Anolis sagrei: one gene and its partner. The protein of the gene in region 1 interacts with the protein of each later gene in a pairwise test. Links are inferred from orthologs where the notes say so. Each region holds a gene or a part of one and is shown on either strand. Other genes may lie near its edges. The genes, in order: CLK4 and UBL5.

Region 1 (15,483 bases):
ATCTTGCAAATGACTGAGGGACTGTTTGTATACTGGGAGAGGCATCTAGCAGTAATAATTTGAAACACTATGCTCCACCCTTTCAAGTAGTAAGAATTTCATTCATGACTGGTTCGTGGTTGCAGAGATCAGAGATATAGCTTAACGATACCATTGGACAAACACCCCATGTTGGTCTGAGATGTTAATGCTTTGTGGACAATTCCTCATGCAGTTCCTTAGATGATAGGTTATAGAAGGGCTTGCAGAACAGTTTGGGGAAGTAGAATCAAAGTAGTGGACCTGAGAGCTGTGTATGAATGAAAATGGATCTTTGTAAGTAGTAGCAGCAGCTTTGCACTGGAGCCATAGCATCCTTGAAATCAACCTCTAGCTTAAATACATTCTGTGATACTTATCTGCCTTGATTCTGAATCCTAACCATATTAAGAATGAATTTAAAAGTATAAGATACAATTTAACTAATTTGTCTCCTGATAATTCTGAATATTAATATTACAAAAGCTAAAGAACAAGAACACAATTCTAGAATAGTTTCTGAGGAAAACTAATACACTAGCAAAAATGCCTTTGGCCCCTTCCACACAGCTGAATAAAATCCCATGTTTTCTGCTTTGAACTGGAATATATGGCAGTGTGGACTCAGATAATCCAGTTCAAAGCAGATGTTTGTGAGATTTTCTGCCTTGATATTGTGGGTTATATGGCTGTGTGGAAGGGCCCTCTGAAGCTTGAAGCTGTTGGTGTAATCCTGACATGGCTGAATAAGCAATTTCTTTTTTCAGTTGAAAATCAGTTTACCTTCTCAGGTGAGCAAACAGCTGAAGTTAATCTTTCCAAGACCTTGAACAGCACTTGAAGCTTTTTCAGAATACCAGTCTTGGTTGTCTTCATATGTCACTATGAATCATGTTAAACTCCTAGTATGAAAATGATGTGATTAAAAAGAAGCTCTATTTCTACTTTTTAAAGCTTGGTTGTGAAAGGAGAGGGTATTTTCTGCAAATGGGGATCCAGTTTTAGCTATATTTGGGTTATAGTTGACTCTATGTACTTCATCATCATAGCTTACCATTTGTGGCTGAGCATGATTGTCCTTCAAGGGCAGAGTCTTGGCAATGGATTCATAAGTATCTGTGGAGACCTATTCAAGATCTGCATGGTCTTTCACAATGTAGACATAAATTTCCAGATGGAAGGCGGTCCCAACAAGGATTTGCTTGATGCGCCTTTCTCTTGGCATTGGCACATTTCTCCTTTTTGCTTTCTATTCCTGTCTGTTCAAAATCCATAGCATTGTTGGTAGCAGGTGACCTCCAGTTAACATGCTCAAAGGCCAGGGCTTCCCAGTTCTTTCTGTATTTCACTTTTTTTTTAAAGTTAGTATTAAGCCCATCTTTAAATATCTTTTGCTGTACACTGGCATTTTGTTCTCCATTCTTAAACTGAGAATACAGTAATTGCTTTGGGGGAGACAGTGATCGGGCATTCGGAGAACATGGCCAGTCCAGCGAAGTTGATGGCAAAGGATCCTTGCTTCAGTGCTGGTGGTCTCAGCTTCTTCCAAAACACTAGTGTTTGTCCATCTGTCTTCCTAAGAGATTTGCAGGATTATATCGTCTAAACTGAGTAACATTCCAGATCACTGTGGTTAGGACTCAGGTGTATGATGAATGATAGAGAATAGCTACAGTGTACATGACTGGTTGTGTAGAAAGAGCAATATATGTCTATTCTAAATTGGAAAATATTTATTAAGCTGTAACTTTTGAAGAAAAGACCTAATACATATGTTACATTTTTCTAGACAAGGGACTGTTCTCATGAGTAAATGGTATCTTTGAAATCTTAGCTGTCAGCATGTGAAGCAGAACCTGCTGTCCTGCAAACCAAATTGCTTTACAGATACAAGGAAAAATCATGTAGCATGCACAAAGTACATTATATTTTTATGAACAGTTAGAGGAATCATTTGCAAGAGTTATCACGCATGAACAACGTAAGATCTGAACTGGTCTTTACCATATGAGAAAAGCTCAGACCAAAATACACCCCAGAAGGTTTCAGTTCTGGATCTCCAAAGGACTGTGTGCAGTGTTCTGCTTGCACACAGCAGGTTTTTGGGAGATCCCTTTCTCACACTGCTGTCCTTTGTGTCTCCCCAAATACTGCTTCCGTGGTAGCAAATCCTCCCAAAGTAACATGCAGAGTAGCACCAATCTTGTATAAATGCATGCAGAAGTAGCTTCAGATCACATCTGCAGCCCTTCGGATCTTCACTATGATTCTTCCAACTGTGCCTCTAGCAACTCATCTACTGGCAACAAAGTAACAGGAATAGAAGTACTGCTTAAAAATTGCTTGTGAACATCTAATATCATTTGCTGCATTTTAACATCATAGTTCACTGAAAATATGTACAACCAATAATTAGTAGGAAAGGGTATGCTGCTACTTGTGCAGCTGAAAAAAAACCTCAATTGGTCAACACTCATATATTCTGTTCACTCACCAATGTTACATTGGATTTAGAGCCATATCTCTTCAGTCGGGCTTCTCCCTGGTAGGACTACAGCCTTCACCTGATCTTTAAACTATTTATGTATATTTGTGAAATGGTGGGATAAGGAAACACTGACATCGCTTGCATACTGAATCCTTGGATTAACCTTGAATCCTGTGTTGAAAGAAAGGTGGGGCCTAAATTAAATAAGTGAAATGTTGTACCACTTGAGGTGGTATAGTCAAAATGGGAACAAAATTATGGATTTTTCTGATGGTATAAACTGTTGGTTAATATTAGAATGATACAGTCAAGATTTTTTAATGAGACTAATTTAAAGGGTTATTTTGGGTATATGGGCTAAAACAGGCTTGGGCAAGTTTCAGCCCTCCAGTTGTTTTGGACTGTTAGGAATTGTGGGAGTTGAAGTCCAAAACACATGGAGGGCTAAAGTTTGCCCATGCCTGGCCTAAAATCTTGGGCACATTCTATACAATTCTTCTTTCTTTTCTTTTTCCTTAATAGTAAACTGCCAGGCCATAAAACTGACTAACAAGGTTGCTTGACTAACAAGGTTTATGTCTGGATTCAAATTATTTATAAATTACATTAACTCTAAAAACTTTGCTTAAAAGTGGGAGGTGTGTATTGATGCCTTGGGTTGTTAGAAAACAAGAACAAAAGGCACTTGAAGTAAATAAAATGATACTATAACTGTTTCCGGAATATGTTTTAAGTACAAACCATGTGTAACAATGCCACCCAAGTACATTGGTATTTCGAAGGATACATCTCCTCATATTGTCACTTGCATTTGCTGGTCAATCTGGAATCCATATATCATTGATGTGCAGGTTTGCTATTTCAAGTTCTTCTTCTTCTTCTTTTACTAATACTGTGACCACTATGGTGGACAAATGGTATGGTACTTGGAGGGGGGGGGGGGTGTTATCCTTTTGTGATTGTACATATCTTTACAAAATTGTAATGGTGATATGCTTGCCCTACTTTTCATTAATACTGTAAAACAGCATGGTCATGCGTAGGTGATAGCTGTTTAGGATGAACACATCCCATGATTTGTTCATGTTTCTAGCATTTTCTCATCCCCAGGCCTTTTTATACTATGGTTGTAAAATTGTTATAAAACCCTTTTGTCAGTTGTACAAGCTACTTTACCTATGTACAGAATTTATATGACAAGCCTAATTTATACTGTGTTTTAACAGTTTGCCTGAACTGTCTATGGTTTCTACATTTTGTAATGTGAGTGTAAAATTAAAAATATTGATATGTGGTTAATCCAGACATTGATTTTTCCTCCAATATGTACACACACTTATTCTTCTTGTGAATTGATATCAATCTGTACTACAGTCCTGGGATATGTCTACACATCAGAAGGGGAGGCAAGGCTTTGGCTTAAATGAATTCTGCCTTTCTGCGGCTGTCTGTCTTTCAGCTGTGATGGTTGTAAAGCCTGGCAGCTGTGCCACTGTTCGTCTGCTGTCTACCATTGTAGCAGGTGGCCCATAGCAACGAAGGCCTGGCCTTACACCACTTCCACTTAAGTAGACCTAACTGTTCAGCTCAGTTTATTAATAGCTATATCATGCTCCACTTTTGGTTTCCAAACCCAGCAACTGAAAGGACTTCATCAGCTGAACAGAGAAGAAACCTGCCAGATATTGCTTTTACTGAACAGACAAGAAACCTGCCAGATATTGCTTTTGCCACCTTAGTTCAGCAACCAAACTACTGTCCTACCCATATCCCTTTATACCAGGGGTCCTCAAACTAAGGCCCGGGGGCCGGATGCAGCCCTCCAAGGTCATTTACCCAGCCCTTGCTCAGGGTCAACCTATGTCTGAAACGACTTGAAAGCACACAACAACAACAACAACAATCCTATCTCATCAGCCAAAAGCAGGCCCACACTTCCCATTGAAATATTAATAAGTTTATATTTGTTAAAATTGTTCTTCATTTTAATTATTGTCTTGTTTGTAAGTGGTTTTTGAACTACAAATAAGATATGTGCAGTGTGCATAGGAATTCATTCATGTTTTTTCCAAATTTTAATCTGGCCCTCCAACAGTTTGAGGGACTGTGACTTGGCCCTCTTATTAAAAAGTTTAAGGACCCCAGCTTTATACAGTACAACAGAGTTAACTGTAAAGTTAAGGGTTTTTCATCCTTATAAATACAGCACTGCAGCTTCTGAGTAATTTTCATTGTGCTTTATCATTGCCTTTTGGTATGTCCATATGACACAAGTCTGATATCGCTAACTGTCATGGTCATAGAATCATAGAGTTGAAAGAGACCTTGTGGGACATCCAGTTGAACCCCCTGCCAAGAAGCAGGAAAATCGCATTCAAAGCACCCCCAACAGATAGCCATCCAGCCTCTGTTTAAAAGCCTCCAAAGAAAGAGCCTCCACTACACTCTGGGGCAGAGAGTTCCACTGCTGAACAGCTCTCACAGTCAGAAAGTTCTTCCTAATGTTCAAATGGACTCTCCTTTCTTGTAGTTTGAAGCCATTGTTCCGCATCCTAGTCTCCAGGGAAGCAGAAAACAAGCTTGCTTCCTCCTCTCTGTGACTTCTTCTCAGATACTTATATATTCATATCTGATAGAATCTTAGGAAATATAGTTTAGAATTTCAGAGGAGCTGATGGTAACTATCTGGCATTAAAGTACTATAACTGTATGTTGTTTTCCTTCTGCTCTCAAGTGGTTAGGCAGAGCTTTCAAAACATTTGATGTTGGTAACACACTTTTTAGACATGCATCTTTTCATGACATATTCAATTTTACTAGCAAATTAGAGGTCAAACTAACCCCTTGTAAAAGATACGGACACGTACATTAATTGTAAATAACTAAATGTATGCGGATACAAGGAGCCCCCGGTGGCGCAGTGGGTTAAAGCACTGAGCTGCTGAGCTTGTTGATCGAAAGGTCACAGGTTCGATTCCGGGGAGTGGCGTGAGCTTCCGCTGTCAGCTCTAGCTTCTGCCAACCTAGCAGTTCGAAAACATGCAAATGTGAGTAGATCAATAGGTACCGCTCCGGCGGGAAGGTAACAGTGCTACATGCAGCCATGCCAGCCACATGACCTTGGAAGTGTCTACGGACAACGCTGGCTCTTCGGCTTAGAAATGGAGATGAGCACCACACCCCAGAGTCAGACATGACTGGACTTAATGTCAGGGGACTACCTTTACCTTTACCTTTACTATGCGGATACATGTATGTATGAGATCATGAAAACCTTTATTTATTTATTTTTAAAAAATATTATTTGTAAGATAATAACATACATTTCCAAGATTTCTGGTATTTCTTATTATTTTCATGTGACACACCTACACACTGCAGCCAATACACTGACATGTCGCAACACACAGTTTGGAAAGCTCTAAGTTTAGGTAATACAAATGTTTACAATAAATGCCAAAGTGTGGCTGAACAAGAGAGCAATATGCCCTACCAACCTCTGAAGCTCTTCTGATTTACAGCAGCCAGGGCCAAAGGGGTGTTTTTGCCAAGCTGTGTTTATTCAAGCAAATGTCTACAGTTTCAAAACTCTTTTCTGCAGAAGGCAATGGTGGACTAAATACGTCAGGCTGGCATATCTGTAGGGTCAAAATCAATTCCCTTTTGGGGCAAAGAGCAGGTCTGGATTCAGCAAATCTAAAGAAGACTCCTGCCTGCCTCTGATCCCAAAGCAGAGTTCATTCCCTTTCACCAGCCAGAACATCTGGTGCATTTTGTGTGTTTTTCATGCTGTTGCCCAGCTATTTTGCTTTGCCAAAGTACCTCCTCTTGTCTCCTCTTCCCAAACTGCTTTCGAAAATTAATCTACCATTTTTAATAGAAGGACCACGATGTGCATTCTTTACATCTGGAAAGAAGGATACACACCGTTATTGCTACTTTGTTAAGACATTATCCTTTAAAGAATTATATTGATGCATTCAGAATATTTTGGCCAACACCTCTGCAGCTCCTTCCTGATTGGGGAAAGGGCAGACCTGTCTCCTTCAAAGGTATGTGGAATGAAGCAACCTATGGCTGTAGCACTACTGCCATCTGCTGGCCACAAAGGAAGATAATTAACACATGTTTCAAATACTATAGTGAGGCAGAAGGGCAATGCGGTCTTACAGTTTGAGGGCCCTTCCACCCAGCCATATAACTCAAAATCCCAAAATCCCACAATATCTGCTTTGTTCTGGGTTATGTCAGTCCACACTGCCATCTATTCCAGTTCAAAGCAGATGTGGGATTTTATTTAGCGGTGTGGAGGGGGCCAGAGTGTTGAACCAGGACTCTGGAGGCCAGGATTCAAATCCCTGCTTGGATATGAAAGCCAAAGGGTGCCCTTGGGGAAATCACATACTCTCAGCCTCAGAGGAAAGTTTGCAAATACTTGAAAGCACACTATTTATTTATTTACCTTATTTATATCCCACCTTTCTCTACCCTGAAGGGGACTCAGAGTGGTGCTAACATTGTGCCTTAAAACATACAATACTGACTTAAAATAAACTGGATTAAAATTAATACAAATTAAACAGAATAATCCATGGATCAGAGTCTAAGGTCATTCTGCAGTTAAATTGTACATTATTCCACTTTAGAGTTATTACACTGCATTGGTTTTCAAAAGCCTGAAGGCTTGGAGGGAGGGGGCTGATGTAATATAGCTCAGAAGGAAGTTCCACAGCTGAGGGGCCACCACTGAGAAGGCCCTGTCTCTCGTCCCCACCAGCCACACTTCCAAGATGGTTCACAAAAACAAGGCTGGAGTTAAAATTTCTGGAAGAAAAATTAACAACCTTAGATATGCAGATGATACCACCTTGATGACCGAAAGCGAAGAGGAGCTGAGGAGCCTTCTAACCAAGGTAAAAGAAGAAAGTGCAAAAGCTGGGTTGCAGTTAAGCATAAAAAACCCCAAGATTATGGCAACAATACTGATTGATAACTGGCAAATAGAGGGATGGATGGTCTTCTTGAAGTGACTGGCTTGACCTTGAAGGAGCTGGGGGTGGTGACGGCCGACAGGGAGCTCTGGTGTGTGCTGGTCCATAAGGTCACGAAGAGTCGGAAGCGACTGATTGAATAAACAACAACATGCCATATAATACAATAATAACGTTGCGGATGTTGTGGGTGAGATTTGTGGGGGGGGGGGGGATGTTTAGCTTTCAAATGTAATTATAATTGTATTTTAACTTTTGTATTCATGACACAAATATTTAATTGTTTTTACTTTCTGTAGATATTGTAATTGCCTTCTGTTTTACATCCTATTCTGTTGTGTCATGTTATTGCTGACCACCTTGAGTCCTTATGGAGAGAAAGGTGGTATAAAAATAAAGTAAATAAATATATAAATACATAAATAATACTATAATATGTTGTCGAAGGCTTTCATGGCCAGAATTATTGGGTTGCTGTGAGTTTTCTGGGCTGTATGGCCATGCTCCAAAAGCATTCTCTCCTGACGTTTCACCCACATCTATGGCAGGCATCCTCAGAGGTTGTAAGGATGCCTGCCATAGATGTGGGTGAAACTTCAGGAGAGAATGCTTCTGGAACATGGCCATACAGCCTGGAAAACTCACAGCCACCCATATATATATTTCTGACAACCTTGAAGAGAACATTGGGTGAGGTCATCCAGAGTTTTGGAGTTGGGTGCCACCTGCAAGTAGATGACACCCAACTCTATTAATCATTTCCACCAAACTCCAGTTCAGACCCTGCCTATGTTCGCAATCACATCTTTCTGGGTTGTTGTAGGTTTTTTCAGGCTATATGACCATGTTCTAAAGGCATTTTCTCCTGACGTTTCGCCTGCATCTATGGCAAGCATCCTCAGAAGTAGTGAGGTCTGTTGGTACTAGGACAATGGGTTTATATATCTGTGGAATGACCAGGGAGGGGCAAAGGACTCTTGTCTTCTGGAGCTAGGTGTGAATGTTTCAACTGACCACCTTCATTAGCATTTGATTGCCTGGCAGTGCGTGGAGCAATCTTTTGTTGAGAGGTAATTAGATGTCCTTGTTTGTTTCCTCTCTGTTGTTGTGCTGTTGTAATTTTAGAGTTTTTTAATACTGGTAGCCAGATTTTGTTCATTTTCATGGTCTCTTCCTTTCTGTTGAAATTGTCCACATGCTTGTGGATTTCAATGGCTTCTCTGTGTAGCCTGACATGGTGGTTGTGAGAGTAGTCCAGCATTTCTGCGTTCTCAAATAATATGCTGTGTCCAGGCTGGTTCATCAGGTGCTCTGCTATGGCCGACTTCTCAGGTTGAATCAGTCTGCAGTGCCTTTCATGTTCCTTGATGTGTGTTTGGGCAATGCTGCGTTTTGGTGGTCCCTATGTAGACTTGTCCACAGCTGCATGGTATACAGTAGACTCCTGCAGAAGCGAGAGGATCCCTCTTGTCCTTTGCTGAACGGACCATTTGTTGGATTTTCTTGTCCTATAGCAATGGGCCATAGTGTTCTGCATTCTGCATTTCTCACTCTGTAGAAAGAGGCACCTGTAAGACCCGCCTTCGCCACCCTTCCAGCCAATCCGGCGAGTCCTCTCCGCACTCCCACCCGTGATTGGTAGCCGCGTGCTGTAGGCGGAGTCTCGGCGCTTGTTTTCCATCGTGACTTCAATACCGAGCATGTGCGTCAGAGAACGCTCCTTCTTAGCCTAGAGATAGGAAAAGGTATAGAAAGAAAGTCAAGCTAGATATGCAGTTGGGTACAGACAGTGAGCAAAATAAGAGCCTCGGGTTCTTCTTTTCTATTTAATATATGAGAGCCCTTTCTGTAATTGTAACTGCACACAGCGTTCAGCTCTAACCAGGAAACTTCCTTCTGTCGTGTTACTCTATATTTGAGGTGCCAGTCTACGTGCACTATTTGACGTTAGCAGCGCTTGTAACGTCATCACGTAATCCCCTCGTCGGCTAAAGAAGGCGAGGCAGCGGCCATTTTGTTTGTTGCTTTGCGGGCGGTGTGCTTCGGGGCTCCGTCAGTCGCCCACAGTGAGGGAGGAGGAGGAGGAGGGTCGGAGGAGGCGCCCCGGGTTCCTTTCCGGAGACCTGCGTCGAGGCAGGAATGTAAGTCTGGAAACAGGAAGGCCTCGCCGTCCCTCCTGGGCTTCGCCTTGGAAGCAGGCCCGGCCTTTCCCCTTCGGCCCGCGACGGAGGCCTTCTTAAAAACACATAGTAGTCGGTGCTCTTTAGGTTCAACCCAGTTTGGGTCCCCAGATAGTATTGAACAGCAACTCCCATCACTCCACCATACGGACTGGGGATAATGGGAATCCCAACCCCACGGCACTTGTGGGTCTGAGGCTGGGCCAAAGGTAACTTACAGCCTGCCCACAAGCCTTGTATCTATATCCACACCCCACCATCCTGACTGAACAGAACAAACTGCAGCCTTACAGATGATACTGCATCACAACTCCCATCAGCTGTAGTCATGAGGTCCAATAATGAGGAATATATTATTCTATTCATTTATTATGCTATTCATTTGTATCCCGCTTTGTCTCCCCACAGTCTAGCATCTGGTGGGCCATCTCAAATATTTTTATTTATTTATTTATCGTGTCAGGAGCAACCAGAAATTTGTATTACATTTTTAGCAAAACAGACAAAATACAAAAGTTTGCAAGCTTGGTAGTTGATTAAATCAAATGACATGGACCAAATTAGGCTGCGGGCCTTGAGTCTGGCGCATGTGTTCTACTTGGTGGCATCTAAATGATACCCGATAGCACAACGCTTCTGCTATCAGAAAATGTAGCTAGAACTATGTAAATACTTGCAGTATTTATTATACATGGTGTGGTTTGAGAGTTCACACTGACCCATCCACACTGATCATTTAATGCCGTTTCAAACAGGCATTGGAGAAACCTGTTTTGCTGTGCAGGTAATTACACAGGAAATGTGGCCAAAAATGATGATTACACAAACCACAGAGCACTGATACACATGAAGGGCTTTTGTTCGAGTGTGTTTGTGGGAGTTAGTTGTTTGGCTGTCACAGTTCAAAGCTAGCTGGGTTTCAGATGTTCCACTGGGTACAACAACGCTTGGAAATAAATATATATAGGAGACTTGCATTCCTTGTTAAAGATAAAGGTTTCCCCTGACATTAAGTCTAGTCACATCTGACTCTAGGCGGTGGTGCTCATCTCCATTTGTAAGCCCAAGAGCCGCCAACGTTGTCCGTAGATGTCTCCAAGGTCATGTGGCCAGCATAACTGAATGGAGCGCCTTTACCTTCCCACGGAAGTGGTGCCCATTGATCTACTTACATTTGCATGCTTTCAAACTGCTAGGTTGGCAGAAGCTGGGCCTAATAGCGAGAGTTCCCCCCACTCCCTGGGTTCAAACTGCCGTTTGGTCAGCAAATTCAGCAGCTCAGCAGTTTGTTTATTTATTTATTTATTTATTTGCTGCATTTATTAACCGCCGCTCTCAGCCCTGAGGCGACTCGCGGCGGTGTACAATATACAAAAAAGACAGTTTACAATGAGCCAACATGACAAAAACTAACATATCACTACTACACAGACATCTAATTACACTAAAATAATCCGCTTTGTCTTATCGTAGAATCATAATCCGTCTCGTAGTCATATTCCGTTCCAGTTGTCATTTCCAGTTACTGTAGCACTTAATTAAATGCCTTCTCGAATAGCCATGTCTTCAGGCTCTTCCGGAAGGACATAAGGGAGGGCGCCTGTCTGATATCAACAGGGAGGGTGTTCCACAGCCGGGGGGCCACCACCGAGAAGGCCCTCTCCCTCGTCCCCGCCAGACGTGCCTGTGAGGCAGGCGGGATCGAGAGAAGGGCCTCCCCAGACGATCTCAAGGTCCTCGTGGGCTCATAGGCCGAGATGCGGTCCGAAAGGTATTTTGGGCCGGAACCGTTTAGGGCTTTGTAGGATAACACCAGCACCTTAAATTGGGCCCGGTAGCAGATCGGCAGTTTAACCTGCTGTGCCACCAGGGGGCCCAATTTAAGAGCCTTGTTAACTGCCATCAAATTCTATGAATGAGACATCTCCAAGTCACCATGTTGTCAGTAGTCATGTTCATGGCTTTCTTGATTGAGCCTTCTCACCATGGCGTGGTAGTGTGCTCCTTTAAGGAAATTGTCTATGCTGATTGTAGTGTTGCTCTTAGTAGGGGCTTTCAGGTCAGGGTTTTATTGAGCCAGACTAAACATGTTCAGCAGCTGCTGAGCAGCAACAAGCCAGAATGGTCTCTTCCCTGCTGGCCTTCCGGTGTCAGGTGAAGGCTTTTCTGTTTAGGCCAGCTTTTAAGAAAAACATTTTTGAAGTCTTAAGTCAGGGGATATGGTATGGGATTTTGGGTACTTTAAATTTGCCTTAATTGTTTTAATTGTTCATTTTTAGATAGTACTAGGTTTAAAGTTTAATGTCTACAGGCAGTCCCCAAGTTACAAACATCCAACTTACAAATGATTCATAGTTAAGAACAGGGGCAAGACAACAGGAAGTAAGAGAATCTACCTTCAGAAAGGGAGATTCACTCCTGAAAGAGTTACAATGGAGAAAAAGTGAATCACCAGTCCTTGTTTCCACACAAAATTAATTATCACAGGGACAGAAAGTGAGGTGAAATCTTCTGAACAGGGGCACAAGCCGCTCTGAGTCCCCTTTTGGGGTGAGAAGGGCAGCATATAAATGCCATATATATGTATAACAATTCATAGTATAATCCCCATTCATTACACTTTAAGTTAACATGATTGACATGAATGTGATTTTGCTATAATCTGTCTTTTTAAATTTATCATTGTCTGTCATATAATATTCTCATTTCATTTTGGTATATTTTCATGTGATAGATGACGCACTCAATGCCATCCCACTGCTCTGAATGGAATGATGGAAGAAACTCAGATGAAGAAAAGAGTACCAATAGTCACAAGCGCAGGAGGCAGTCCCACAGCAGTGAGAGACATGACAAACACTATAAATCACTTAAAACTGCAGACAGGTAAATTACTTGAACTTAATGATGATCTAATTGTAACTAGGTTTAACTTAAATTTTAAATTGATTAACATTTGTCACTTAAGTTATCATTTTCATATCAACTCTTACCAGAGTAGTTATCAATCCACTTATATCTAGTGATATTGCATGTGTTGTTAATGTCATTTATTCATCTTAAGGACTTGAATATGAGGGAATGCTGTTTAAAGGATGATTTAAGAATGTAAATGTTGACATAAAAATAAGCTTGAGTCTGATTCTCTCTTTGATCCAGTAAATTGAATGAGATTTTAAGCTCCAGAAATGTCTGCTGTCAGATTGCATATGGGTATGTGTATAGGTTTTAAGCAATATATAAAACAATTTCAATGTATCATGTAGATATTATTTTATAATTGTCTATTTGTTTTTATTTTTAACCTTTTATTGGTTTTTATGTAATCCCTGAAAAAACCTATTGTAATAGATACACAAGCCAATATGTGTTGGTCGTTTTCTAAAATTAAATAAAGACTATCAACTTGAATACTTGGGGACATGACTCCTTCGCCTTTTCCCCGTGGATTCCTTTGCTGATCTCCAGGACCTGCCTCTATTAGGGGAAAAAAAAGATAGTTGAGAAAATGTTGTTGGTTTCATTCCAAACCATAGAATAAACATGTTTTCAAATATGTACAGGTTTTTCTGGCACCCTAAATTAGCAGATATTATGGAGCCATAGACCCTTAGTAGTTTTAGGTGTCATGGAGTAACATCTCTGAACAGAAGCTCTATACCTCTATTGTCTTGGCTAACCAATTATTGCCTTCAATAGGGGGGGTGGTTCCTAATTTGTAGTTTTCCAGAAAGTACAGTAGGTTGAACCCAATGGCACTTTGAATTATAGCTGGGATTTGGTGCAGCACTCTTTGTCTGTGTAGGTTGTTTTGGTGATCACTCTTCTATATTTACAGATTTAGGGGGAGTTGTAACTGTTGCCTGTGAATAGCTTACAATCACACTTTAAATCTTGTGCCAAACTGGGTAAATAGATCTAGTACATACCCTGACATATGTGTAGGGATTGCTTTGGTGACAGAAAATATTTCATGTTCTCTTTTTTAAGTTGGAAAAATAAGTCATATATATTTTTTCAATAGATCCACTCATAAGACAGACCATCGCAGCAGGAGATATGTTGAAGAATACAGAAATGACTTTAATGATACAGATGACCAGAAACATTATAATAGAGATTATGAAAAGAGTCACTGTCATCATTATAGCAAATCATCTCATCAACACAGTAAAAGTCATAAAAGAAAGCATAAGAAACATGACTCCACCAACAGCTCGCATTTGGTATGTATAGATTTAAAATATAATAATGGTATTACATTTCTTCGCAGAATATGAGATTCTGTTAATGTAAATGCTTGTAAAATGCATGAGAAAGAATTGAACTTGGGTTGCCCTGATCATGTATATTTGCATCTATTTAGATATTTGGGGATATAGTGAATGGAGTTAAGTATATAATTCCAGATTTATTGAGTTTTTACTAATTTTTCAAGTATTTTGTAAACGCAGATGATTACTTAGTATTTCAGATTACATTGAGAATATAAAAATAACCAAATGCTTCTGTCATTTTAACTAGTGTTACATCATTATGGAATGTATCTAGAACTTTAGAAGTCTTTAATTAAATGAAAATACCATGGTGTCTGAATTGATTTCAGCATACCTCTGTGGAGTAGCTTAAATTGTGGCAACTGTTGGTCATTTATTAAATGATGCTATTGCTTACTAATAGAAATGCTTATATTATGCTACTTAGCAAGGAAAGAACCCCAGGTTCCTAATAAAAAGTATGGTGCAGCCTATATATGTATGTATTCAGATTTAAGATTTTTAAGGTGCTATTGAATGAATACATTTGGAATTTTAAATTGTAATTGTATTCCAAGAAATCTAAATAATGCCACTCTAGCTTTTCAAAATGAGGAACAAAAGATAATTGCGCAAAAAGTCTATTGTTGATTTTAATAATATATAATTGCTATTTTAAAACATTTTGTTTGAAGTTAAAGAAGATCATTCCTGATTATAATTTCATAAAACTAGACATGCACATGACAACATTGTTTCGAATAACAAAATTATTTGCATTGCAAGTTTAATTTCAGTCTTCAAGTAATCTAGTATCTAAGAGACAAACTGTATTGTGTTTCTGTTGTCTTGCAAGAATTTTAAGAATTTATCTGAAAATCTGTTCCTTGCCATGTTTTTCTTCTGTAACATAAACTGTGCCCTGTGAATTTCTGGGGACTGAATTTGAAATTGCTCCTGCCAACTGTTCGTGGCCTGGTGCGTAACTGAATTCCTGAATATCCCCGCTGAATGAATTGCGTATTCTACCCTGAATTCACTCTGATATATTGATTGGCTGGACGATCTTGGTGCCGTTTCCAGAAGAGCCACCGAAGGAAAAGATCCAGGAGTGTAGAGGATGATGAGGAGGGTCATCTGGTCTGCCAAAGTGGAGACGTACTAAGAGCAAGATGTATAGAATATTTTTCAACACTTTTTTAAAAAACCTTTCAGCAAAACATCTGTTTAGAATAGTATGTTAGACGAGGAGTGGGGCGGGGTTAAAAAACCTACATTGCTCTCTTTTGTCTTTTATTTTGTCTTTGTGTTGTTTTACTTTTCTGTTCTTTTCTGTATTCTTAAATAATTGTTATTCAATACTTTAGTAGTAAATGAAGTTTTAAGGCTAGACAGATAGCTAGTTATCTGTTTCATGACAACTGTCCAATGGAATAACACATCCAAAGGCAGATACTAAATTAACGTTTTTATAATGACATGCTTAATTGCTTACACCATTGTTCAACTTGTTCAGCAACAGATGCAATGTATTCTTTCTTTTATAGATG
Region 2 (15,342 bases), about 60 Mb from region 1:
ATAGTGCTGGCCACGGCACAATTTGGCAAGTCTGCCTGGATTTTGTGCAGTGCTGTATCATCAGATCCTGTGCTGCCTAAATAAAGACGCTTTAGCCGTGGCAGGGCCTGAGCAAGTGCTACGACTGAATCTGCAGAAAGCCTGCTGAAGAAGTCCAGGCGGAGTTCTTCCAAATCTGGCAAGCTGGCCAAGCAAGGGAGGCCTACATCTGTCAGAAAATCAGTGCCCCCAAGGTGTAAGCTGTGCAAGTGCTTCATGTGGCGCCCAATGAAGTGCATGGCTGAATTGCCAATCTGACTATGGAGCAATGTGAGATGCTCAAGGCCTCCCAGATGGGGTGCTGCTGTCTGGATTCCCGCATCTGTTACTCGGTAGGTCTTGGACAAGACAAGAGTCTTAAGAGTGCCCTGTCTTGAGATGTTAAAGAGGTGTTGGTTTGAGAATGCAGGGACATTCTGGATAATCAGGTGCTGGATCCTTGGGAAATCCTTGCAGGCCTCGGCAGCTTCCGGGACTTGGAACCACACTGAAGGGATCTCACAGAAGCTCAGCTCCAGGGTCGTGAGAGAGGAGGGGAGACAATTATAGGGAAGGGAACGGAGGTCTGTCTTGGTCAGGCACAAGTTGTGGAGATTAGGGCATTGCTTGCCCAAGGCCTGCATCAACGCTGGGGTAAACACATCTTGCTTCCGAATGGAGTGAAGGGATCCCTGGGCCTTCAAAGTCTGCACAGTGCCTCGCAGATAATTCCTCAGTAGATACCACAAGACTTTGGAGGACACCTGAGAGGACGGAAGTAGATTCAACAGAGAAAACATGCAGATTAAAAGTTGCATGAGTTAAATTGATGTAAGATGGTTGGAGGGCTTATAAATGCTTGAAACAATCGTTATGGCAACAAACCTGCAGCCACAGACCCAGGAAAAAGGCCCAGTCCACTCAGCAGAACCTAGCCTTTAAACCCATGCATAAGTCTAGAAATTTTACTCAAAACCCTGGATCGACTTATTCACAGGTCAATGTCAGTACTGTGTCTTAACTTTTAATGAAAGAGAAACCATTGGGTTCTCTGACAGCAATTATGAAAATGCAAGTGCACAGGATAGGGCTGCATACTAGTATTTAGGTTTAACATTCAAAATTCAGCACTTCCCCCCTCCCTAATTTATTTTCTTCACTGATTGTTAATTTAGAAATGGAAATGGGTTGGCTAGCTCTATAGAGATGCATGGTTGGAGAAACAGAGGAGTTATAGCCTAAAGTAAAAGGTATACAGTAAAGCTATTGATGTTTGGGTGCTATGTTCAGAGACTTCTGGCCCTTAACATTGGGTAAAATCAGCCCAATTTTAACCTGCATTAAGTAAACTCAGGAAAGCTCTGGAGGGCTTAGTATGAATAGCTCAGCTGGTTCCAATTCAAATTGATTCAGTTGTTTATACAAGATAGATTGCCATTCGCCCTGGGCCCCCTTTGGGGGGAGAGGGCGGAATATAAATAAATAAATAAACAAATAATAATTATTATTGGTAGTAGGAGTTTTCCATGTGCTCCATTGAGAAAACAGGATGGCACTTACCCTTTGTTTGTTTGTTGCTGCTCTGGAGAGTACTCCTGAGAACTCCTGGCTATAGCTGGGGCCTTTGTTTACATCAGCAAAGGCACCCAGCGATAGCCAACTGCTAAAGGACCCAAACTGCTTTTGTGACCCAAAAAAAGGAGAATCACCCACTCTTTTTCCCAAGTCATGTGAAAGCCTTTGCTGATGTCAGAAAAGGGGGCCTCGCATTGGCCCTGATGCAATCCAGAATTCTGTTTCCATTGCCATGGTGACAAACAACTGAAAAGGTAAGAGTGACTGGACAGCAGGGCTGGACTGGATGGACTCAGCTCTGCTCCCACTGCTGCCATGGTTCAAGAGCAGTGAGGTGAAAACACCTTAACAGAATCCTTCTAATCTGCCCTGAATTTAGGTGCCCATGTAGATGGGCCCCTAAGAATCATAAACGTTGTAGTTTGGTGATTGTGACCATGTGTTAGAATATTCTGCCCTCTCCAAATAAGTACATCTATATCTCAGATGCTTCCTCGTGGCAGTCAAAAAGTATCTAACCATGTGGGTGGGCTTTTTATAATGTAAATTGTGAATCTTTCATGTAAGGAAAGTTCCACTGTACAAGATTATAATCTGCTCTGAACCCTGAGGATGTAACTAATAGGGAAGGTTCATAGCCAATCAATGTGGCATAGCCAGTGGGTTAAAGCACTGTGCCGGCAGGACTGAAGCCCGACAGGTCGCAGGTTCGAATCCGGGGAGAGGTGGGTGAGTTCCCTCTATTAGCTCCAGCTCCTCGTGCGGGGACATGACAGAAGCCTCCCACAAGGATGATAAAACATCAAAAATCATCCAGGCGTCCCCTGGGCAACGTTCTTGCAGACGGCCAATTCTCTCACAACAGGAGCGGTTGCTCCTGACACGACAAAAAAAATAAATAAATAGCCAATTAAAGATGGCTGTGGCATGCTTTGTGACCCAAAACAAGGAAACATGGAGGCAAAGAGCAACATGCACCCAGCTCTGCAGCTAACAATGAAACTGTTAAAGTTTATAACTCCCAAATTCAAAACGCATCTGAAATCGTACTGCATGGGAGATATGCTGTTATACTGGCTGCAAAATTCTTCAGACTCTTAGTCTTTACCCACATAATAACAGAGAAATCCCTGCTCAGCCATGAAAACCCACTGGGGGATCTTGAGCAAGTCATACCTGGCCTGAGAGGAAGTCAAGGGCAACCTCCCCCCATGAGCAGACTTTGCCAAGAAAACTCCATTAAAAGATTTGATGTAGGTCGGAAATGACATGAATGCAGAAACATATGGTTTTAGCCCTTCCTGAAAGTGTGTTGGCAATGGCTTTTGGAGGCTGAAAAGGTAACTGCACCACAGTGCAAAGCTATTTTTTAATGTATTAACTTTATTTCTACCCCGGCTTTTTCCCTATGGAGACTCAAGTTGTCTAACAGCTACACAATCTGATCAAAGTTTAAAACAAAGCAAATAATTTAAAAAAAAAAAAATTAAATAGCACTTTGTAGATATAAAGTTAAACTATAGTTAAAATATAATAAATTAAACTTACATTTAAAAATCACAATTCCCCACCCCAGAATCCCACACACAACCTCCCCAGCAGCATGCCCATCTTTCTACCTTAAAGGCTTGCTGGCACAGAATGCAAGCAGGGAAGGGCCAATCCTGGTTTTTTGGTAGGGGGAGGAGGGAGTTCCACATACTGGGAGCATCCACCAAAAAGGCCCTCACTTGTTCCCACCAAATGCACTTAATCGGGTGGTGGGACAGAGAGAAGGCCTTCCCAGTTGATTGTAGATATCTGAGAAGTTAATAGAGAGAGATATGGTCCTTCAAATAACCTGGACAGAAGCTGTACAGGGCTTTGTAGGTCAAAACCAGCACTTTGAATTGTGTCCAGAAATAGGCTGGCAGCCAGTGGAGCTGTAGTAACAGCAGAATTGTCCACTCCCTGTAGCCAGTCTCAGTCAGCAGTCTGGCTGCTGCTCTTTGGACTAACTGAAGTTTCTGAGCACTTTTCAAAGGCAGCACCATGCAGAGTGCATTACAGTAGTCTAACTGGGATGTAATGAAGACATTTGCAACCGTGGCCAGATCTACCTTCTCCATGAATGGGTGCAGTTGGTGCGCTAGCTTTATACAAAAGCATTCCTGGTCACTGCTAATACCTGGGCCTCCAGGTTCAGAGCTGAAATTTAGAGTACCCCCAAACTGTGAACCTGTGTTTTCAGGGGGAGTGTGACCCCATCTAACACATGCTGAATCTCTATTACTAGATTGGTGTTATGACTGATTGGCCAACTTCTGTCTTGTCTGGATGAAGCTTCAATTTGTTTGCCCTCATCCAGTCCATTACAGCTGCCACAGACTAATTTAGCATAGAAACGGATTCCTTGGCTTTAGGTGGAAAGGAGTAATGGTATTACAGTTCATCTGTGTACAGATGGCATCACACTCCAAAATTCTGGATGATCTCTCCCAGCGGTTTCATGTATATGTTGGGGGGCAACACAGAGTCCTGAGGGACCCCAATGGCCAAGGAAGTACCCCAGCAATTCCTGATCCTTGCTCACAAATACCTACTAATGTGCTGGAGTTTGACCATTGTTACCTTGTAAGAAGTTAGATCCAAATGCCTCCACAGAAACTTGTCCCGCACCAGGCGACGCCACCTCTTGCAAACCCTGTAGAAAGATGTGATCAGTTGTTATCAACTAGTACTTCTCACCCAAAGGCAGTGACTGGGTGGCTTCAATGCAGAGGATCTGAACAAGTGGGTTTACATCCACAAAAGTTGATATTGAAATAAAAACTAGTTTGTTTTAAAGGTGATGCTGTTTCCCACTCCCTCCTTCCTTTTTATGCTGCAAGAAATTAACACAGCTGCTTCTTTGAAAACTGTAGTCAAGGATCCTGTTGCAGAAGTAGTGAGGAAACTAATTGGAGGTAACTGTGAAGCAATGCCACATTGTTGGTGTGCATGGAGAGGAGGGAGCAACAGCATATACATAGTAAGCACTTATATAGAAAAATAAATTGTTTCAGAATTCAGTCTGGATGAGGGGTTACTTCTCTGCACAAACTAGAACTTCATATTGGGCGAATGGATTTTGGCAATGTCCAAAAACTCTCTCCACTGATGAACACCTCTCAACATATGTAGGCCAGGGACTTCTTTGAAACTACATTTCAGGACACCCATTGAAGAGGGAAACATAGGGACAACAGGATTTTGAAGAACTTCTGCACCTGAGCCATTCTTAAGTGTTTAACTTGCATTTCCTTAGGCAAGCCAAATAGAAATAACACCGTTTCAGCTTATTTTTATTGGATCAAAAGGGCCACATCCCCAAAAATGAATGCCAGGACTTCATCACACTGCAACAAGATGCATTAGGGTCCCCAACTAACCATTTGTAAGCTTATAGCTTTTGTTTCCCTTTGATAGCTGCTCTAGACATGCCTTCGGAGCAGCCCTTCTGCACTGCTGGAGCAAACATGCTGCTTTGAAGGTACACAGTAGCGCTTAGAGAGTTGCCTTGATATCTTACAAGGCTCCAAAGCAGGCCTGGTGTTTCATAGTCAAAGCGGCGGGGGGGGGGGGGGGGGGGGAGAACAAAGCAGAAGGCAAGAATATCTCCCTTCCCTGTCACAAAGGCTCCTGTATCTTTAACAAAGGAGTTAGTTTTATGTTGCTGTCCATATTGCGCTCTAAACTAGGAATGAAGATCTAGTGGCCACCAGATTCTTTTCTACTTTATACAACAACTACTACTACTACTACTACTACTAATAATAATAATAATAATAAATCCTTATTTATATGTGCTTTTCTCCCACAATGGGGACCCAAAGCGGCTTCCAACATGGTAAAAACACAATACAAGTTAAACAACAATCAAATGCATGAATATAAAACAGATGGAATTCACTGGGTTGCTGTGAGTTTTCCGGGCTGTCTGGCCATGTTCCAGAAACATTATCTCCTGATGTTTCACCCACATCTATGCCAGGGATCCTTAGAGGTTGTGAGGTCTGTTGGAAACTAGGCAAGTGAGATCTATAGATCTGTGGAATATACAGGGTGGGAGAAAGAACTCTTGTCTGCTTGAGGAAAGTGTGAATGTTGCAACTGGCCACCTTGATTAGCATTTAATGGCCTTGCAGCTTCAAAGCCTGGTTGCTTCCTGCCTGGGGGAATCCTTTGTTTGGCAGTGTTAGCTGGCCCTAATTGCTTCTTGTCTGGAATTCCCCTAGTTTTTGAGTGTTGTTCTTTATTTACTGTCCTGATTTTAGAGTTTAGTTAATACTGGTAGCCAGAATTTGTTCATTTTAATGGTTTCCTCCTTTCTAGTGAATTTAGTTTCCAAGAACCTTGTCAGCTGAAATAAGATGACTATTTCCTGTTCCTTTAACGGCTGTGCAGAAAGAAGTTCTGCAGGTGTTGTTTTCAGGACAATATAAATTGATTCCCCATTATGCATGTTCCATAAAGAGGCAGAACCCCTGTGCCTCATTTTGCCTGTCAACAACTCCCAGAAACCCCAAGCACCATGACCAACCACTGGAGGGACCTGCAGTCCCAAATACCTAGATGGAACAGGCATCCTATCGCTCACTATAGACCAGTAGTTCTCAACCTTCCTAATGCCCCAACCCCTTGATACAGTTTCCTCATGTTGTGGTGACCCCCAACCATAAAACTATTTTAGTTGCTACTTCAGAACTGTAATTTTGCTACTGTTATGAATCATAATGTAAATATCTGATATTCATGATGTATTTTCATTCACTGGAGCAAATTTGGCACAAATACCCAATACACCCTAATTTGAACACTAGTGGAATTGGGGGGGGGGGGTTGATTTTGTCATTTGTTAGTTGTATTGCTGGGATTTATAGTTGATCTACAATCAAAAAGCATTCTAAACTCCACCAACGATGGAACGGAACCAAACTTGGCACAAAAAACTCCCATAACCAACAGAAGGAAGGGTTTGGTGGGCATTGCCCTTGAGTTTTGGAGTTATAGTTCACCTATGTCCAGAGAGCACTGTGGACTCAATGATGGATCTTGAGCAAACTTGGCATGGATACTCAATATGCCCAAATGTGAACACAGGTGGAGTTTGGAGAATATACACCTTGACATTGGGGAGTTGGAGTTGCTGGGATTTATAGTTCACCTACAATCAAAGAGCGTTCTGAACCCCACCAATGATAGAATTGGGCCAAACTTCCCACACAAACCCCCCAATACCAATAGAAAATGTTGTTTTATTTAACTGTTTATTTTGGTTATGGCACATAACAGAAAAGCGAATCGTGACAGATATAATCAGGTAACAATATTTTTGACGTGTACATGCCTATCTATCTTAATCAACCAACCAGTTAATTTTGAAATTGAGTACAAATTATTATCAGTTACTTAACTTAAAACACAGAGACTTGCTATTTCTGTATGTTATCCACTACTTTCAGTCAAAGCTTTCTATTCAATTTTTTCCCATTACATTCAGAAAATCAGCACATGGCATTTTACACACAGCAAACCACACACTCATCCCAGAACCCTTATCCCACACAAAATAAAACCTCTTCCCCACACCCGTGCACCCTTCACCATGACTTCCAACACTGAAACACTATGAAGCCTTTAAGCCTATTTATCTATCCTTATTCACGGTAAACCTAAATTCCTAATGGAGCTCCTCTATGTTGGTTGTAGGTTTTTTCGGGCTATATGGCCATGTTCTAGAGGCATTTTCTCCTGATGTTTCGCCTGCATCTATGGCAAGCATTCTCAGAGGATGCTTGCCATAGATGCAGGTGAAACGTCAGGAGAAAATGCCTCTAGAACATGGCCATATAGCCTGAGAAAACCTACAACAACCCAGTGATTCCGGACATGAAAGCCTTCGACAAGACTCCTCTATATTACTGACTCTCTTGTATTCCTCCTGTTATAAGTTAGTCTGGCCATTAGCATACGCTGTGTTTTCTGCTGGTCTTTGGAGACCCTTTTGCCATTCCCTCGTGATCCCCCACAGGGGTCCTCACCCCCAGGTCGAGAAACGCTGCTATACACCCTGGGCATTTAGTCTAAAAGTGCCAGATTCTGTCTGGCCTTGGAAGTTAAGCAGGCTCAGCCCTGGTTAGCACCTGGAAGGGAGACCACCAACGAATACCAAGTGCCGTAGGCGATATATCTGAGGAAGGGACTAACACAGTGTTTCTCAACCTGGGGGTCGGGACCCCTGGGGGGGTCATGAGGGGGTGTCAGAGGGGTCCCCAAAGACCATCAAAAACCACAGTATTTTCTGTTGGTCATGGGGGTTCTATGTGGGAAGTTTGGCCCAATTCTATCATTGGTGGAGTTCAGAATGCTCTTTGATTGTAGGTGAACTATAAATCCCAGCAACAACAACTCCCAAATGTCAAGGCCTATTTTCCCCAAACTCCACTAGTGTTCACATTTGGGCATATTGAGTATTCGGGCCAAGTTTGGCCCAGATCTATCATTTTTTGAGTCCACAGTGCTCTCTGGATGTATGTGAACTACAACTCCCAAACTCAAGGTCAGTGCCCACTAAACCCTTCCAATATATTTCTTTTGGTCATTGGAGGTCTGTGTGCCAAAATTGGTTCAATTCCATTGTTGATGGAGCTCAGAATGCTCTTTGATTGTAGGCAAACTATAAATCCCAGCAACTATAACTTCCAAATATCAAAATCAATCCCTTCCCAACCCCACCGGTATTCAAATTTAGGCATATTGAGTATTTGTCCAATTTGGTCCAGTGAATGAGAATACATCCTGCATATCAGATATTTACATTACAATTCATAATAGTAGTTCTGAAGTAGCAACAACAATAATTTTTATGATTGGGGGTCACCACAACATGAGGAACTGTATTACGGGGTCGCGGCCTTAGGAAGGTTGAGAACCACTGGACTAACAGAACCTCTTCTGAGCCTTGGAGAAACCTTTGGGACGCCAGGAAGGAGAGTGATGCGGACTGCCCTATCACATCACACCGCAGCTGCCATGGCAACATCCAATAGAATGGGAGGAGCCTTCTGACTCTTCAGCAGAGCGCTGTCGGGCCTCACTAAACTACATCCCCCAGAATCCCACGGCAGTTAAGGGTGGGAGAAGAGCTCCCTCCCCGCCCGGAGCCCTCACCTGGCTCCGCCCACTCGGTCACGTGGGGGCAGCCACGCCAGGATCTCGAGCAGGAGCGAGTCCGGGAGTGTGGCGAGGCTGGGCACCGACATGGCTGAGTGTATGCCTTCCATTTGAGAGCTTCTCCCGCCTTTCCTTGGAACGTTCGACCAGGCTCCTCCGATTTCCGCTTCCGGGCGTGTGAGGCACGTTTCCGCTTCCGCTTTCTTCCCCCTTCGGGCTTCTGCGTGAGTTCCTCCGTGACTGTTTCGGCCCGCTTTCCTTGGGGTAGGTGAAAGGAGCAAGGCCGGCTGCTTTAGCCCTCCAGGCCCCGGACAGTGGCCGGGAAAGCTCCCGAAGCCCCCAGAGTGAGGTTAGCTGTGCTTCTGTGGGTGGCTCTTCTTTTACTTCTCCGGGGAATTTCAGGCTGAACTGAAATTCGGGTGCGAAGGGACTCTTTCCTTTCATCTGGTATTATTCTGATTCTGATTGGTGGATTATTCAGAGCCAGCGTCGAACCACGCCTCTGGAGTCTAAGGTTTGAGCCCCCACTCAGCTATAGACACTATATGGATTCTTTGAGCGATTCACATTCTCTGGGCCTCTGAGCAAGGCCAGGTCCCATCTACCCTGCCATATAATCCAGGTTATCTGCTTTAAACTGGATTATTTGGCAGTGTAGACTCATATAAACCACTTCAAATCAGATAACCTGGTTTCAGAAACTGGATTATATGGCAGGGTAGATCCAGCCCAATTTTTGCCAAGAAAGCCCCGCAATAGCTTCTCCTCAGGACAAATTGAAAGATGGCTTGAAGTTGAACAGCCACAACACAGGCTGAGTTTCCTTTACTCAAGATGCTTGGTGCCAGAAGTGTTTTGGATTTTTTAAAATTTCTTCAGATTTTGGAGTATTTGCATGTACATAATGAGATATATGTATGTGGCGTTGGAGGAAAGTGCCGAGAGTGCCTTGGACAGCAAGAAGATCCAGTCCACACTTCAAGAAATAAAACCTGGCTGCTCATTGGAGGGAAGGAGAGTAGAAGCCAAGATGAAGTACTTTGGCCACATCATGAGAAGACAGGAAAGCTTAGAGGAGACAATGATACTGGGGAAAATGGAAGGAAAAAGGAAGAGGGGCCAACCAAGGGCAAGAGGGATGGATGGAATCCTTGAAGGGACTGGATTGACCTTGAAGGAGCTGGGGGTGGTGATGGCCAAAAGGGGGCTCTGGAGTGGACTGGTCCATGAAGTCATGAAGAGTCGGAAATGATTGAGCGAATGAACAATGAGATATCTTGGAGATGGGAGTCTGAACACAGAATTCTATTATATTTCAATGTATTGAAGGCTGTCATGTCCAGAATCACTGGGTTGTTGTGAGTTTTTGGGCTGTATGGCCAGTGTTCCAGCAGCATTCTCTCCTAACGTTTCTTCTGCATCAATGGCTGACATCTTCAGTTATTCAGAAGACTCACAGCAAGAATATAGTTTATTTAATAATGATAATAATTTATTTATAGACTGCCTTATCTCCCCAAAGGGACACAGGGCGGTTTCAAAAAAACATGACAAACATTCAATGATAAAAGAAAACAGTACAAACAATTTACATCAGGACTAGACACATTGGAAAATATAGAGCAACCTAGCTGCAACATAATAAAAAATGGAGAAAAATAAAAACTCCATAAAATGCAAAAATCCCGATAAAACGCACTAAAAATATAAACTAATTACATCATAGTGCCATTGGGTGAGGTTCAGCAATACCAATGGCTAAGATGGAGCTGAAAAATATAAGGGCTGAGCAAGGAATAGTGTAAACAACATGTCATAGGGTCGGGGAAGTGAATGAATTGCAGAACAGGCGACCTAGAGACTAGGCCTATGTGTATGCCTTATACACATAGCTTGGACATAAATTTATACAGAGGGTTGGACTCCTCCCCCCCCCCCAACCTTATACCAAACTTCTTAGTGTTTAAGGTACCATTATAGTCGTTGTTTTTGCTATGACAGGCTAACACATATAACATTATAGAAATTGCTATTCTTTTTATGGCTTCTTAAAATGGTAGTGTTCCCATGATTGATTGTACCTCTTGGATGTCAGTGCTTCCATTTTTTCTTATTTTGAGCAATACAATAGTTTAGGAGTTAATAGGGGTTAATAAACCATTCTGGAAGAGTTATGTAATACAGTTTATATAAATATGAGAAGGTTTAAATAAGGAAGAGTACAGCAGCGGAGCTTCTCAATTAATTAATTTTGTATCCTGTCCCAGGGCACTCAGTGGCCTAGTTGCTCCCAGATGAAGGGCCAATAGTATTATCAGTTGAATTACATTGTACAGTTATCCACTATTAAATGGATGAAGTGGTGGAAAATCCTGTGATGTTACAAGTGGAAGACAGGCATGTCTGGACTTACCCATAACGTTCTGTGCGGTAGGGAGTATGATATTATTGTACAAATCTCAGCTAGATTCACTCAGAATTTGGGAATTCCGACCTCACTCTCTTTTCCTGAGATTGTGCTTTGAAAAAGCAAACAACCCCTTCTCTATCTGAAGTGACTGATCACATTTTTCTCTGTTTCTTTCTTCCAACAGTACCCCTAAAGGCAGGAGACTAGAGGTCTCCTAACTCAGCCGTTTCTTGTACACTGATTACCATTGACACCGGATCGGGATGATTGAAGTGGTTTGCAATGATCGTCTGGGCAAGAAAGTGAGAGTCAAGTGCAAGTATCCAAAACAGAAATATGTAATTTTTGAACACCTAGGGGGAGCTAGACTATATTTTCTAGCCTTATATTTAATTTCTGTTTTATTTGTGAAGACTCTTGACACATACAAAACAGATACTTAACAAGGGAAATATCTGTGATGAGAACTGTTCACTTGAAATATGAGCACAGTGTAACATAAGTGTAGGCGACTGTGAACATAAGAAATGACTCAGAAATTGTCTTAATAGTCACTTCCTTTTGAAATAATGCTTTCTCCTATTCCAGCAATTTTCTGAGCAACAGTATCTGGAAGGCTTTATAATTCCCCTCGCTTGGTTTACTCCCAAGTATGGGATCACTCTAATACGTTGTCTACATTTGGACTAGAATGCCTGTTGTCAGGCAAGTTAAAGTTCAAAAAGCAACAGCTCAAGCAGAATGGATATAAGAATGGATTAAGGCACATGCTTAATGGAGAAGATTGGTATAGAGTGAAAGTGTGTGTGTGAGAAAGAGCATTAGACAGGTGTTTAATAATCTCTAAACTGAAGGTAGTGCTTTTTTAAAAAAATAAGCAAAAAAAATAAGCAGGAAGCCTTGGGTCATGTGATACTGCACAAGCATAACTTTTTTTTGTGTTGCAGTAAACAAATTTTGTTCAAAGATGGAGAAAACTCTACTTAGGAGTGTTTTTTTTAAATAGGTGTTTTGATTATATATGTTTAAAGATTACCCACCCTAGGTAGGGATGTTAAAATATTGAAATATTTATATTTTTTTTCTCCAGGATTTAGGAAAACACATATAATGGTTCCAAAGATGTATGTGTGGGAAGTAAGGAAAACAGAGGGGAGGGAGAGAGGTGGCCGGTAGAAGATTTATGCACGACCGCAATGTGTATTCCATTTAATAATCTGAAAAAAACATTAGTCTCTTAGAGTTTATCACAAAGAGGCCTCCACTTGAGATACATTTTGCTTAACTGGTACTATTGCTCAGCTCTGATGACACCATCCGGGACCTGAAAAAGCTAATTGCGGCCCAGACTGGAACTCGGTGGGACAAGATTGTACTAAAGAAATGGTGAGTAGAAATGTGGACAGATTTCAATAAAAGAATGGTACTTTTGTTTCAGGCAGAATTGTATATGGCATTACTGTCCTAGTCTAGTTCTGAGAGCCAGAGTTCAAGAGCATCATTTGTGTCCTGAATACAAGAGACCCAAGGATAATATATAAAGGCTGTCTCCCCTCTCCCTCCTGTGCAAAAGTACAGCTATCCCAATACATTTGCGGGTTAAGCATTGTGCATTTGTGGATGCGAGTGAATTTGCTGTGCTGTCTCTTGAAGCAGAGAGCAGAGTAGCGACAATGTCAGTTGCCACCCACCCTTCACTAAAGGTTTACAGACTTTGGTTGGGGGTTGATGGTGACTGAAATCATTGCTATTCCACTCCCTGTAACTTCAGGGGGCAGAATAGCAATGGTTTCAGTTGGCATTTCCCCACAAAAGTCTGCAAGTCTGTAGACTTTGATGTGGGATGATTACAACTGAAGCTGTGAACACAAGACCTGCAAATGTGGAAGACCAATTGTATTTTATTATAAATATTTATTTATTGCCTCCCAGCCAAAATGGTTCTCAGATAATTCAAAAGGATCATAAAACAATAAAAATTATAAACTAAATAATTTCAAATTGTACTCAACAAGAGCTCACAATGGCAGAATATTGTCACTCCAGAATTCCAGATAAACTCAATCAGAAAAGGAACAAAAATAATTTTGCTTTCCTCTGAAGGAAGATAGCTTTGGGAAGAGGCTCTATTTCTTATTGGTGGGTCTCTGAACTGCCTCATTCAGGGTTAGTCAGGCCAGATTCCAATTCAGGAAGGATCCTGAGGACGCATTCTAGCAACAAGCAGTGCTTGGAAACAAGGAAAGAGTAGGTTGCTCTGAACCAATGGGACAGGGCCAAATATACATACATACATATATACATATATATATGTATATATATGTATTTTCCTCTCAGGCATAGCTCTGTCCATGCATATTCACTGCAGAATAAGCTCAGCACAACAGTGCAGGTCATTTTCATGGAAGGTCTTTAAAGTTTGAGTAGCTGGTTCAGCGCGCGGCAGCCATGTTACTAACTGGAGCGGGTGGCAGGGAGCACACAACGCCCCTGTTGTCCCAGCTCCACTGGCTGCCGATTTGCTACCGGACCTAATTCAAGGTGCTGGTTTTGGCCTACAAAGCCCTAAACGGTTCCGGCCCAAAATACCTTTCGGACCGCATCTTGGCCTACGAGCCCACGAGGACCTTGAGATCGTCTGGGGAGGCCCTTCTCTCGATCCCGCCTGCCTCACAGGCACGGCTGGCGGGGACGAGGGAGAGGGCCTTCTCGGTGGTGGCCCCCCGGCTGTGGAACACTCTCCCTGCACACATCAGACAGGCGCCCTCCCTCATGTCCTTTCGAAAAAGCCTTAAGACATGGCTGTTCGAGAGGGCATTTAATTAAGTGCCAACATTACGGTAAAGAAGAATTGGAATGGAATAAGGAATATGAGACGGGTTATGATTCCACTATGAGACGAAGCGGATTTTTAGTGTAGTCTGTAAGTGTTGTTAGTTTAGATGTTGTTGAACTGGCTTTTGTAATTGTCTTTTATGTGTACTGTACACCGCCATGAGTCGCCCTTATGGGCTGAGAATGGCGGTTAATAAGTGCATCAAATAAATAAATAAATAAATATTATCTCTAATCTCTGATGGGAAATAACACTAGTAAAGCCCTATGGGCAAGATGAGGAACCCATGCAGTCCAAGGGCATTCCATCTGGAAGTTGTGGAAACAGAGGGGTGATGAGTATTATTATTTTGTTTATATTCTGCCCTATTTCCAATAATGAGACTTTTGACAGTTAACAACATAGACCTAAATATCTCAAGTCTGTAGGGCATATAGAAAGAGACACTCCTAGCATATTTTTGATTCAGTCATTTAAAGCTGTAGAAGTCATATCCACAAATTACATTACATCCCAAAATAGAATGGCAACTTATATCTTATTGTAATATATAATAATCACAGGAAGTTACTCTTACAAACATCCAGTTGCTTCTGCTGCAAGATAATGTTTGGAGCCATCTTTAAGGAAAATTCCATGTAAAGCCCATTGTTCCCAGATTGTTGTGTGTGTAATTATGTTAATTTCATGTTTTAACAGAAATAATTGTCATTGTTAATTTGCTTTGTGTAGCAAATTAAAATTAACTATATATATATTTAATGTTATAGGTACACAATTTTCAAGGACCATGTGTCACTGGCAGACTGTATCCTTAATCCTGGTGGTTGACAATAAGTAAGAGCTTTACTATATGTACAGAGAAGGGAACAGCACTCATTAATCATCTTTAAATTCAGTAATGTTATTTGGATAGTTGCTTTGAAATCATTTCCGATTTATTTATACTTTTGCAAAAAGACTTGCACAAAATACTCTTAGCCAATAGACCAGAGTTTACTTATATACATTTTTGATTCTACTGGGTCTTTATGTATTCTCTTTTTAAAATATTTGTATTCCACACTGTATCTGGAGATCATAGAAAGGTTTTACTGAATTTTAGACAAAAATTGATTAAAATACCCAGTTCTATAACTTGCTTCCCTTTTTCATCATGCAAACAAGAGCTGAATAGAAAGTGGACATTTTAAGTTCTTCTTGAATAATGTGTATGTGTTTAGATGTGCACAGATACAAGCAGAGTAACAGATTTGGGGCTTTCACATTTTGTATAATGAAATTTTGATTTTTTTTTTTTTGGAAAATA

Evidence for each region.
Region 2: the proteins of CLK4 (region 1) and UBL5 interact in a two-hybrid assay, tested with the Homo sapiens proteins (2 studies listed by BioGRID and IntAct). The link is inferred for Anolis sagrei from reciprocal best matches to the Homo sapiens genes CLK4 and UBL5.

What each region holds. Positions count from the first base shown.
Region 1 is NC_090022.1:87,941,674-87,957,156, forward strand, and holds the start of CLK4 (dual specificity protein kinase CLK4), read left to right. Parts: upstream 1-9,481; 5' UTR 9,482-9,638; intron 9,639-12,411; coding exon 12,412-12,563; intron 12,564-13,701; coding exon 13,702-13,903; intron 13,904-15,016; coding exon 15,017-15,107; intron 15,108-15,480; coding exon 15,481-15,483. UniProt on the Homo sapiens protein: Dual specificity kinase acting on both serine/threonine and tyrosine-containing substrates.
Region 2 is NC_090022.1:147,589,273-147,604,614, forward strand, and holds the start of UBL5 (ubiquitin-like protein 5), read left to right. Parts: upstream 1-8,897; 5' UTR 8,898-8,969; exon of another isoform or gene 8,970-9,136; intron 9,137-9,210; exon of another isoform or gene 9,211-9,301; intron 9,302-11,381; 5' UTR 11,382-11,460; coding exon 11,461-11,516; intron 11,517-12,499; coding exon 12,500-12,583; intron 12,584-14,803; coding exon 14,804-14,841; intron 14,842-15,342. Other genes in the region: FBXL12 (F-box/LRR-repeat protein 12), read right to left, coding at 1-782, 4,204-4,276, 8,785-8,897. UniProt on the Homo sapiens protein: Ubiquitin-like protein that plays a role in cell proliferation and sister chromatid cohesion by associating with spliceosomal proteins. Participates thereby in pre-mRNA splicing by maintaining spliceosome integrity.